Linked DNA regions of Drosophila melanogaster. The protein of the gene in region 1 purifies or fractionates together with the protein of each later gene. This does not show direct contact. Each region holds a gene or a part of one and is shown in the gene's direction. Other genes may lie near its edges.

What was found.
Region 2: the proteins of Pi3K68D (region 1) and mtm purify together in Drosophila melanogaster (affinity purification with western blotting, with the first as the bait; one study listed by BioGRID). This does not show direct contact.

The regions. Positions count from the first base shown.
Region 1 is NT_037436.4:11,786,742-11,791,709, reverse strand, and holds the start of Pi3K68D (phosphatidylinositol 3-kinase 68D), read left to right. Parts: upstream 1-1,696; 5' UTR 1,697-1,788; exon of another isoform or gene 1,789-2,089; 5' UTR 2,090-2,169; intron 2,170-3,464; 5' UTR 3,465-3,497; coding exon 3,498-4,531; intron 4,532-4,599; coding exon 4,600-4,652; intron 4,653-4,968. Other genes in the region: twy (twitchy), read left to right, coding at 1-1,432.
Region 2 is NT_033779.5:6,034,090-6,039,173, reverse strand, and holds mtm (myotubularin), read left to right. Parts: upstream 1-2,158; 5' UTR 2,159-2,362; coding exon 2,363-3,896; intron 3,897-3,951; coding exon 3,952-4,277; 3' UTR 4,278-4,443; downstream 4,444-5,084. Other genes in the region: CG31643 (uncharacterized protein), read right to left, coding at 1-971; CG9117 (uncharacterized protein), read left to right, coding at 1,359-2,045; CG9109 (uncharacterized protein), read left to right, coding at 4,851-5,084.

The DNA.
Region 1 (4,968 bases):
GCACTTGTCCGTCGTAGAGAAACGACTCAAGGACGAGAATAGCGAGTTACGGCAGTACTACATCGAAAAACTGGAGAAGCAGAAGGAGGACTATGTGGAGCAGATTTCCAGCCTGCGACAAGATCATGAGGATGAGGTGCGCAAGCTGCGTCAATCCCACGAGCTGGACCTCGAGGGTATTCGTCAGGCTAAAATGGTGGAGTTGTCGGCGGTGCAGGATCATGGAAATTATCTGGACACATTGCGTCTGGCGTCCAGCAATCTTCAAGAACTTCGTGACGGGATGAGTGACAACCAGGAAAGGGAACGGCAGTTGGAGGCGCGAGAACGTCGCCTGGCCGACCAGGAAAGGCGTCTAAAGATGGACGAGGAGACGGCCGACGATGAGAAGCGCCGCCTGATGGAACTGGTGAGCACCTTGGAGCTGCAGCTGGGCCGTTTGTCCAAGGAGTCAGCCGAAGAGAACTGGCAGCTCCGTCAACGAATGTCCAGCTTGGAAGCGGAGCGCAAGGCTTTCGAGCGCGAAAAAGAATTCCATCGCGAGCAAATGCAGCGGGACGAGAAGCGTGTGGAGGATCTTAAAGCACTGCAGCTTGCGGAAATGGAACGACTGCACCACGATCTCCAGGAGGAGCGCAATCAACTGACAGTGGAACGCCAGCAGATTGAACTAAGACAACAGCTCAATGAGCACGGCGACCCAGACAGAGATCGCCGGGAACTGGAGGCCCAACTGCAGGTGGCACGCGAAGCCATTCGGCGGGCGGATGAGGAGCGGGATCGCTACCACAAGCTGCAGCGCGAAATGGAGCAGCGCAAGCGCCATCTTCTGGATAAGGAGCACGCCCTAAATCTCAAGGAGGACGAACTGGGCCAAGCCACCGGCGCCTACCGCCTAGCCACTAGTCGCCAACACTTGGCCGAGCAGAAGGCTAGGGAGGCGGACCAGCTGCTCCAGGCCAAGCTTAAGGTCATGGCCAAGCGGGCCCAGGAAATCGCGGAAAAGGAGGCACAGCTGGCCCACGAACGAATGCTGGTGGCGCAGGATCGTATGGCTTTGGTCAATCTGAAGAAGCAGATTTCTCGCAGCAGGTGTGCAATCTGCAAAATGGGTGCGGAATCGGCGGAAATCGCCCAGCGAAGGGCAAATGTAAATCCCACAGCAGCCACCGATCTTCAACTGCCTCAAGTGACACCCAGTCATGCGGAGCTGCTGCTTAAAATGTCCCAGGAACCGGGACAGGTCCAGAGTGACATTGTGGATCGAATGCTGGACGAAAACATCGAAGCCTCCTACCGCAGGATGTACAATGCGCCCCCCAGTAGTTCAATCGATGATCCCGACTATCTATTGACGTTAGCTGGTGGGCTGGACGACGACTCCAAGGTGGCCATGGATCACGGCCTGAATGTGGACGAAGCATTTATGTAGATATTGTGGAAAAATTTGTGGAAGCACAAATAATAACAACTGAGATAAATAAATGTATTACTTGGCAATTAGTATAAGTTTTATAAACAAACTATGAAGATACAAGATTACATATCGCTCGAAAGTTAAGTATTTTGTTATTCGTTAGAAACTCAATAAATTTGAATTGATGGAGTGAAACCCGGCTACATGATTAGCCAATACTCAAACATCTGTTCGATGTATCTTTCATCGATAGTTGCCAAACAATATCGATTCGTTTACCATCGCTACTGCTTGTTGCATTCCGTTTTGTGTTATTTCGTGCTGTTCGTGTTTAAAGTTCTTGCGCACAAGATAATTGTTTTTTTTTTATTGTAAATTAACTGATTTGTACATAATATGTGATGGTGCAAGAAAATCTAAGAAAATAACGTTTTGTTCAGTATTTTGGTGTTGCGTCTATTCCGTTTTTTGTCACTGTTTTCTGTTCGTGTTTGTGTATGGTCGTTTCGCATGTATGTGTGTAGGTGTTTAGGTGTGTAGGAGGATAAAACAACTCTCCTAAAAACAAAAAAAAAACCTTTGGTTAAGTTTAAATTAATTGTGATTCGTCAAATATAACAACAACCGAGGATAAAAGTGTAAAACTATTAACCGGATGGTCTATGTTCGTAGCCCCGTCAAGGGAAAACCTCAACCAAAAAGAGACTAGCAACGGGTGTAAAAAGCAGCGGAGGTGACACCTCAAAAAGCAAGTAAGTTGGCAATATGCGGATGAGAATCACAAAGCAGAAGTCAAGTCTGCATATTAATGACTATCTCCATTATTATTTTCTTTCGCCCTTCCACCGATATTCGTTTTTTTTAAATTTTATTCTTACGTTCTCCGGAATAAATTGGCATTCAATTGGGTTCATTTATTGTTTATGAATATTGTTTTTAAAAATTTTTTCGCAATCTATTGATTTACCTTAACCTTTGCCGCACGGAACCCTCTCTTTTGCTCTCTCTTCCTCGCTTCCTATTCCTAGCCGGTTCGCATTTTCTTATCTTCCATTCCGTCCCCGTTCGCGACACGGACTCACACACACACTAGTGCTTTTGTGGGTGTGTTTATATTAAACAGCTGTTTCCTATCTGCATACGAGATTGGCTTCAATGGGGAAAAAATCAAAACGCTTACATGCTGACATATATATATACGTTTATATTGCATATATTCGTATATATGTGTAAAATCTGGGAAATCAGTACTCGCAGCATTCATTCACGCAAATTGATGCCGCCGCTTTTGTTTGTTTTTATATATTTATTTACAATCGCGCACTCAATTGCGCCTTTTTGCGCCACTCTGCTGTATCGCAATCGCAAATTTGGAGCGCTTGGATATGGTTTCTATGTGCAAAGTACACAAGTATTTACCACATTTGTATGTACAAACAATAAGATAAAATGTTTTGCTGATGTTTGTACCGAATGTCGAAACTCTGCTAATCATACTTAATATCATGCTTGCATAATGATGTTCGAACTTTTCTATTAGAAGTTGATATTTTTTAAAATATAAAATTAATTCCTGTCCCTGCCCTGGCTATCACAAATCCTTGTAATTACGTTTTAAATGCAGTTGTCATATCCTTTTAACCATTTCGAAGCTTACAAATCTAATAAAGCGATCAATCTGTTCTCCCCTATTTTCTGAATTTCTGAATCATTGGTGCCCGCTAATGACGGCTCATTATCGATCGCGAATATTCCTTTGCAACTTAAAAAAAAAAAACTAGTGATAGGCACCCCCACTCTGTCGCAAGTGGTCTTCCCCCCATCGAATGCTATCTCACCTGTTCTTCGTCCAGGTACTCATATAGTACCATTGCCATTTACACTGCATAATCACTTTTATCACCGCCTGTTCGTTATCGCAGAGATAAGCAATCCCAAAAGCAAACACCTTTGTTCAACAACAAATAGGCATTGGAAGAGAAAATACGAAAATAATTTTAACAAAATTTGGAAATCGCTCACATTTTGTTCTGGTTCCCATTCGCAGCTCAACGGACCGGACGCTTTAGACGAGGGGATAATGTCAAATCAAGCGCATATCGACTACGACAAACAATTCCAGGATGACCTGGCCAAGGCGACCGCCCTGAGTCTAGAGCAGCATGCCCTCGATGACTACAGGCGAAACAAGAAGTACGGCTCCGGGTATCAGCAAAGCTCCACCGTTGCTGGCCGAGATTACCAGGCGGCGCAACGTAGTCAGAGCCTACATCAACCACGACGGCACTCGGAGGTGCATCAGGTGGCCATCAGTCCGGAGAATGCGGAACGATCGCGCACACCGCCGGCCCAGGGAACGGATAACGATCTGATCTGCTTCGCAAGTCCCACCAGCAAGCAGCCAGAGAGTAGCAGTCCCTTTGGCAAACTTATAGAGGATCTGCAGCGGATGCAGCCGACCAATCCGCAGTCGGCCCTGGTGCCAATGGGTCCAGTTGCGTCGGCTTCGATTCCTCCTCAATACGGCTTTCCACCTCATCAGCAACGTCCAACGGCTGCTCAGCCCACACCGTACGGCATGGTTGCAGGTGGAGTTGTTGGTGGACCGGCTTACGGTGACCTGCAGTTGGTGCCTTACCAACCAGCTGCTCAGCAACAGAGGCCACTAAACAGCGAGGAGCTGCAGCGGCTGTACAGCATGCCCGCTCAAATGGCCGTGGTTCCAGTGCCGCAGCCAAACGCCTATATGTACTATCCCGGAGCTGTGGTTACTCCATACACGGCTCCCATTGTTCCCGGATCGGCTGCTTTTATGCCGCCGCAGTATCCCGCACAGGGATATGGCTTTGGAGGTGCTTACACGCACATGGATTTGCGTCGACCCCAATCGCAACCAGCTCCCCAACAAACAGCACCGACAACAAGTCATCATCACAGCCAACCGTCCAACCATTCCACTTCCTCCCCCGCAGAGGCCAATGGAGTAGCCTTCCCAGCGCGTCGCCAAGTGCCCTCGACTGTCGGGGTTAGCTCTAGTAGCCACACTGGAAACAATGGTCATTCCTCGGTCCCACGCAGGGGCAACGATTTGATCGACCTCAACCACGAGGACTAGTATGTATCCACTAGTGTTCAGAAATGATTAGTTCGTGTTTTTAACATTCAAACATCCTGCTTTGCAGCTCCCGTGTGAGTGTGCTGGAGGCATTCGATCCCCTGCTAAACGACAATACTGGTAAGCAGCCTCAATGTTGTAATTAACGTGTAGCTCCCGGTCCTCGTTGAAATCCCCCCACATTTTTCGCACCGTAAACTAAACTTGAAATACAGTCGAAAACTCGTGTGTTGCGATTTTTGGCCAGAGCATTCATTTGAGCTGCAAATAAAAATTATTGGCATAATAACATTAGTGGATTTTTCAACTCAATCTCTAGGAGAGAGGAATATTAAATTGAATAGGAACAAGCACACGATTTTGTATTTGTATGGTATTTACTAATAGGTTTTATTAATTTTATATTTATCCCATTATTTGTTTAGCAACAATTAGT
Region 2 (5,084 bases), on another chromosome or scaffold:
TGATGCAAAAATGTGCGACAAATGCTCTTTAGATCTGCAGACTCCATCTGGTGTATGCAAGGTCGCAAGACCAGCATGACCTCCCGAATCAATTGGGTGTGGGTCTGCGACCACACTGGAATATTCAGCATGTGGATCACCTTCAGAAGAGCCTTAGGGGTTTCGCTGCTGAGGACGCCGCTTTGCATCATTTCAGTCAAGCGCAACTTGAAGCGCGTAAACAGCTCCTCATCAATGAGAAAGTGTAGCTGAAAGAGGCACGTGGACAGAAGGCGAACCTGCTCTGCGCTGCGACACCAATTGATGTGATGTTCCAGGTGCGGAATAAAGTTCCTACACACAAGCGGAGTGAAGAAGTCGCGTTCCAAGTTGATGCCCACCGAGAGGCGAGACAAGGAGGTCAAGGGAATGACTTCGTCATCAACTTGTGACTCGATTAATTGAAGAGATCTCGTCAGCACGGCCTCCACGACTGCCTCGGAGTTTGGTATATGCATTTTGCGCAGGTACAGGTAGCATCTACTGAGATCATCGATCTCCAGTTGGTGTACATAAGGGGCCAACTTTGGGAGCACGTTAAGCAGCACGCGATCCGTGATGGCATCTTTACTTGCCTGCTCCGCGTCGTGATAGATGTTCCACAGCAGTGAGATTCCCATCACCACATGGGAGCTCTGCAGGCCGTCACAGCTCTCCAACACATCTAAAATCTGGTTACCCGTCTTGGCCTCCTCCAGTCGGGTTAGAAGAGCATCCTGTTCCCGTGGCACGCCAAACTTGTCTTGGAGATCTCCGTTCACCAGCTGCGAGTGCTTCCTCAGTTTTTGGCCCAATGCCGGCAGCAAGGCAGCTGTTTGGATGGGCGGCTTTGCGCCAATGTTAACGTGCCGTCGCAGGAGCTGAAGCTGACGCACTCGCAGAAGGTATTGTAGGTACTTCCATTGTGTCCGCGGCAGGTGGTTCAGATACATGCCACTTTATCTCACGCTTATTCAGAAATCGTTGAATAATAACAAAATTACGCCGTATAAACATGTGAGTGAATTTTTGGCGATCAGCTGGTGTCGGTGTTGCCATGAAATCCTAATTTCCATTATACTGAAACCAATAATGGAATCAATGTGTAAAAAAAAACTTAAAATAATTTCTGAACTGTGATTAGCGGTATACAAGTTAGATAAGTAATTACTTAATTCGTAAGTAATTTGTTTATTTCGTCAAAAGTTTCATAGTGGCAACTCTAGTTTTCAACAGGTTGTTGACGAGTTGACATTTCTGTTTGTAAGCAACAGCTGATAAGCAGCTGACCCTAAATAATTTAATAGGCTAGAGCGTTATCGTTGTTAAACAACTAAACAATGGCATACACTGATCCTGCGCAACGAAACCAGGTGACCGTGCTCCAGGTCGGCTATTCTCGCCAAGAAGAAGGAGACGAGTCCGCCATGCGGGCTAACTGCACATGCACACTGGTCCGCTGCCGGGATGGCACCAACATAATCGTGGACACACTGACGGCCTGGGATGGAGATCACCTGCGTTCGTTGTTGGGCCAGCAGGGACTAGGCGTCGATGACATCCACGTGGTGGTCTGCTCTCACGGACACTCTGACCACATCGGTTGCAACTATCTGTTTCAGAAGGCACGAATGCATTTGGTCGGCGCATGTGCCTCACATCACGACCTCTACATGGACCACCTTGGTAGTGGTAATCCAGACGAGCAACTGGCCCTAGATTCGAATGCCGAGGTGGTAGTGAGGCGGTCGCCAGGACACACCCTCAGCTGCGTTTCAGTTCTTGTGGAAAATTCCCAGCTGGGTGGACGGGTCGGTATCACCGGAGATCTCTTCGAGCGTCGCGAGGACATCGACGATGAGAACATTTGGATGGACGCTGGAAGCGAAAACGAGAAGGTGCAGCGCGAGGAGCGCAGTAAAATGGCACAACTGTGCGAGTTTATAATCCCAGGACATGGTCCGATGTTTTCTGTCACACAATCAATGCGCTGTAAACTTAAAGAAGACGCCACTTCTAACACTTAATTTATTAAGCATTAAATACATATGTTAGAGATTTTTTTAAAAGCGGAATTGTTCTAGCTTTCCTTGATTACCAGTTAAATGTCTGAAATAAGTTGATTAATTCCAATACATAAAAATCAAATTTTCCGCCACTACATAATGTCCCTTTGGTACTTTTGTCGGAGGAATGGGAAATTATTCCAGATGATTTTATATTGCGTGAGTTGGCAGCACTGCTGCATGAGTTTTGGTGAATTGCATTTAGCTAACAATTGGAAAAGAAAACACAGCTGCAACCAGCAACACAATAGCCAAACACCACTCGTGTCCATCCGAAAATGGATCCCTCCGCGAGCCTGGCCGACAAGTTGGCCTCCAAGACTGCCAGCAGCAACTCTCTGGACAGCAGCTCCAAGTCCAGTTCGCTGGGCTCCAAGCACGGTGGCGGAGAAAACGGCATTCTGCGGGACACGCCCTTCGGCTATCTGGAGGGCGAAGAGGACCAGGACCAGAAGAACGACGTGACCTACGTGTGTCCGTACCGCGGCCCCGTCTTCGGCGCTCTTACCATAACCAACTACCGTCTGTACTTCCGGTCGCTTCCCCTGCGGGATCAGGAGCCGCCCGTCGTCGTCGACGTGCCTCTGGGCGTGATCGCGCGTGTGGAGAAGATTGGAGGTGCCACGTCTCGCGGTGAGAACTCGTACGGCATCGAGATTTTCTGCAAGGACATGCGAAACCTGCGATTCGCCCACAAGCAGCAGAATCATTCGCGGAGGACGGTGTTTGAGAAACTGCAGGCCAACGCCTTTCCGCTCTCGTACAGTGGGCGCCTCTTTGCATTCGCCCACGCCGCGGCCAACTCTGTGAACGGTAACGGAGGCTGGGACGGCTGGGCGGTATATGAACCGCTGGCGGAGCTGCGCCGCTTGGGCGTTCCCAACGATATGTGGCGGGCGACCAAGCTAAACGAGTCCTACGCAATTTGCGACAGCTATCCGGCCGTGTGGGCTGTGCCCAAAGCGGCCTCCGATGATTTCCTGAGGCGCGTGGCACAGTTCCGATCGCGCTGCCGCCTGCCGGTTTTGTCCTGGATGAACCCACGGACTCAAGCGACCATTACAAGGTGTTCCCAGCCGCTGGTGGGTGTAAGTGGCAAGCGAAATTCCGACGATGAAGCATACCTAAGCTTTATCATGGAGGCGAACGCCCAGTCAGACAAGTTGACCATCATGGATGCGCGACCAAGCGCCAATGCGATTGCTAACAAGGCCAAGGGCGGCGGCTACGAGTCAGAGGACGCGTACAAGAACGTGGAAATCAACTTCCTCGACATACACAACATCCACGTGATGCGGGAGAGCCTACGCAAAGTGAAGGAGGCTTGCTTCCCCACCACCGACGACTCAAAGTGGCAGACGGCTATTGACAACACACTGTGGCTAAAGCACATTAGGTGCATCCTGGCCGGCGCCGTTAGGATTGTTGACAAGGTGGAGACCATGAGCACCTCCGTCGTAGTTCACTGCTCCGACGGCTGGGATCGCACAGCCCAGCTGACTGCTCTTTCCATGTTGCTGCTCGATCCGCACTATCGCACAGTGCGCGGTTTCGAGGTTCTCATTGAGAAGGAGTGGCTCTCCTTTGGCCACAAGTTCCAACAACGCATTGGTCACGGCGACAACAAGCACTCGGATGCAGACAGATCTCCGGTGTTCCTGCAATTTATCGATAGCGTCTGGCAGGTTAGCCAGCAGTTCAACAACGCATTTGAGTTCAACGAGCACTTCCTGATAACCATCGTGGATCATCTGTACTCGTGCCGCTTCGGCACCTTCCTCTGCAACACGGAGGCCGAGCGTGTGGCCGAAGGTTAGACTGATTGCTGTTTGCATGGGCTTGGAAGTAATTTTCACATTTATTGTAGATCTCAAGCACAAGACAACATCCCTGTGGACGCACATCAACTCGTCGCTGGACCAGTATTTGAATCCACTCTTTCCCTCGTTCACGCACGGCGCCGAGCTAGTGCTGCGTCCGATTGCCAGCGTGAGATCGGTCCGCTTGTGGAAGGGCCTATACTGTCGCTGGAATCCTGGTCTGTGCGCTCCTCAGCATGGCTGCCAGCGAACCCGCGAACTGCTATCCAAGCAGGACCAGCTCTTTAAGCTCGTCAACGAGCTGCGGCTCAAGTCGAACAACCGCAGCAACAGCATGCAGACAACTACGCGACTGGCCTCGCCTATGCACTAATAGTATTGCTTTTTTATTCCCCCTACTTGTACGCATATGTAGTGCACGTATTGTGAACTACGTTCTAATTCCAAATAAAAGTTTTTCTTAAATGGAAAACTAGTCGATTCAACATTGTATCATTGAACCACATTATCGAATCTAATTAAAGTGTTAAATGTCTGAGAATGTTTTAATTATTTCATGAATAACATCATATAGTTCAAATCGTATAGCGTTTTCGCAGCTCAGTGGAGCTACTTTTATATGTGCCTTAAACTAGTTTGGATGTCAAAAAGATACCTAAACAGGTGACCAACTGTTGCACGCTCCTTGTGATTCATTCATAAACACCGCTTCATAGAGGCGCCTGCGCGTTGGACTACGCACGTTAAATCCCGAATCCCACTTTTGACACCACAGGACACAAAACATTTCGGCTTTGCGCCAAAATTAAATCACAGCTGCCTCAGTACGACATCGCACGTTCATTGGGACAGACGTGTTCCGATTTCCGGTAGGAAAAGGGCAGGTGTTTGTAAAATATCAGGAAATGCGTTCGGAACTCTTAGAGTTCCGCAATAGATATTAGTTATGCCTACTAGGATATGTGTGCTGTTTGGGCTTCTGTGCCTCGCAAGCTTATGCTGCGGTAGTAACAAGCCAGGAGAGGTGCTCCTGGTTATCGCCTGTCCCCCGCATCCTCAGCAGGCCAGAAGTGATTGTTTAGCCTTATCGCACAACGTGCTGGAGCAGCAACGGGCACTGGAACTGGCGGGGATCTTCCCCGAGGACTTTGTCCTGAAGGTCCATGTGATGCATGAGCTC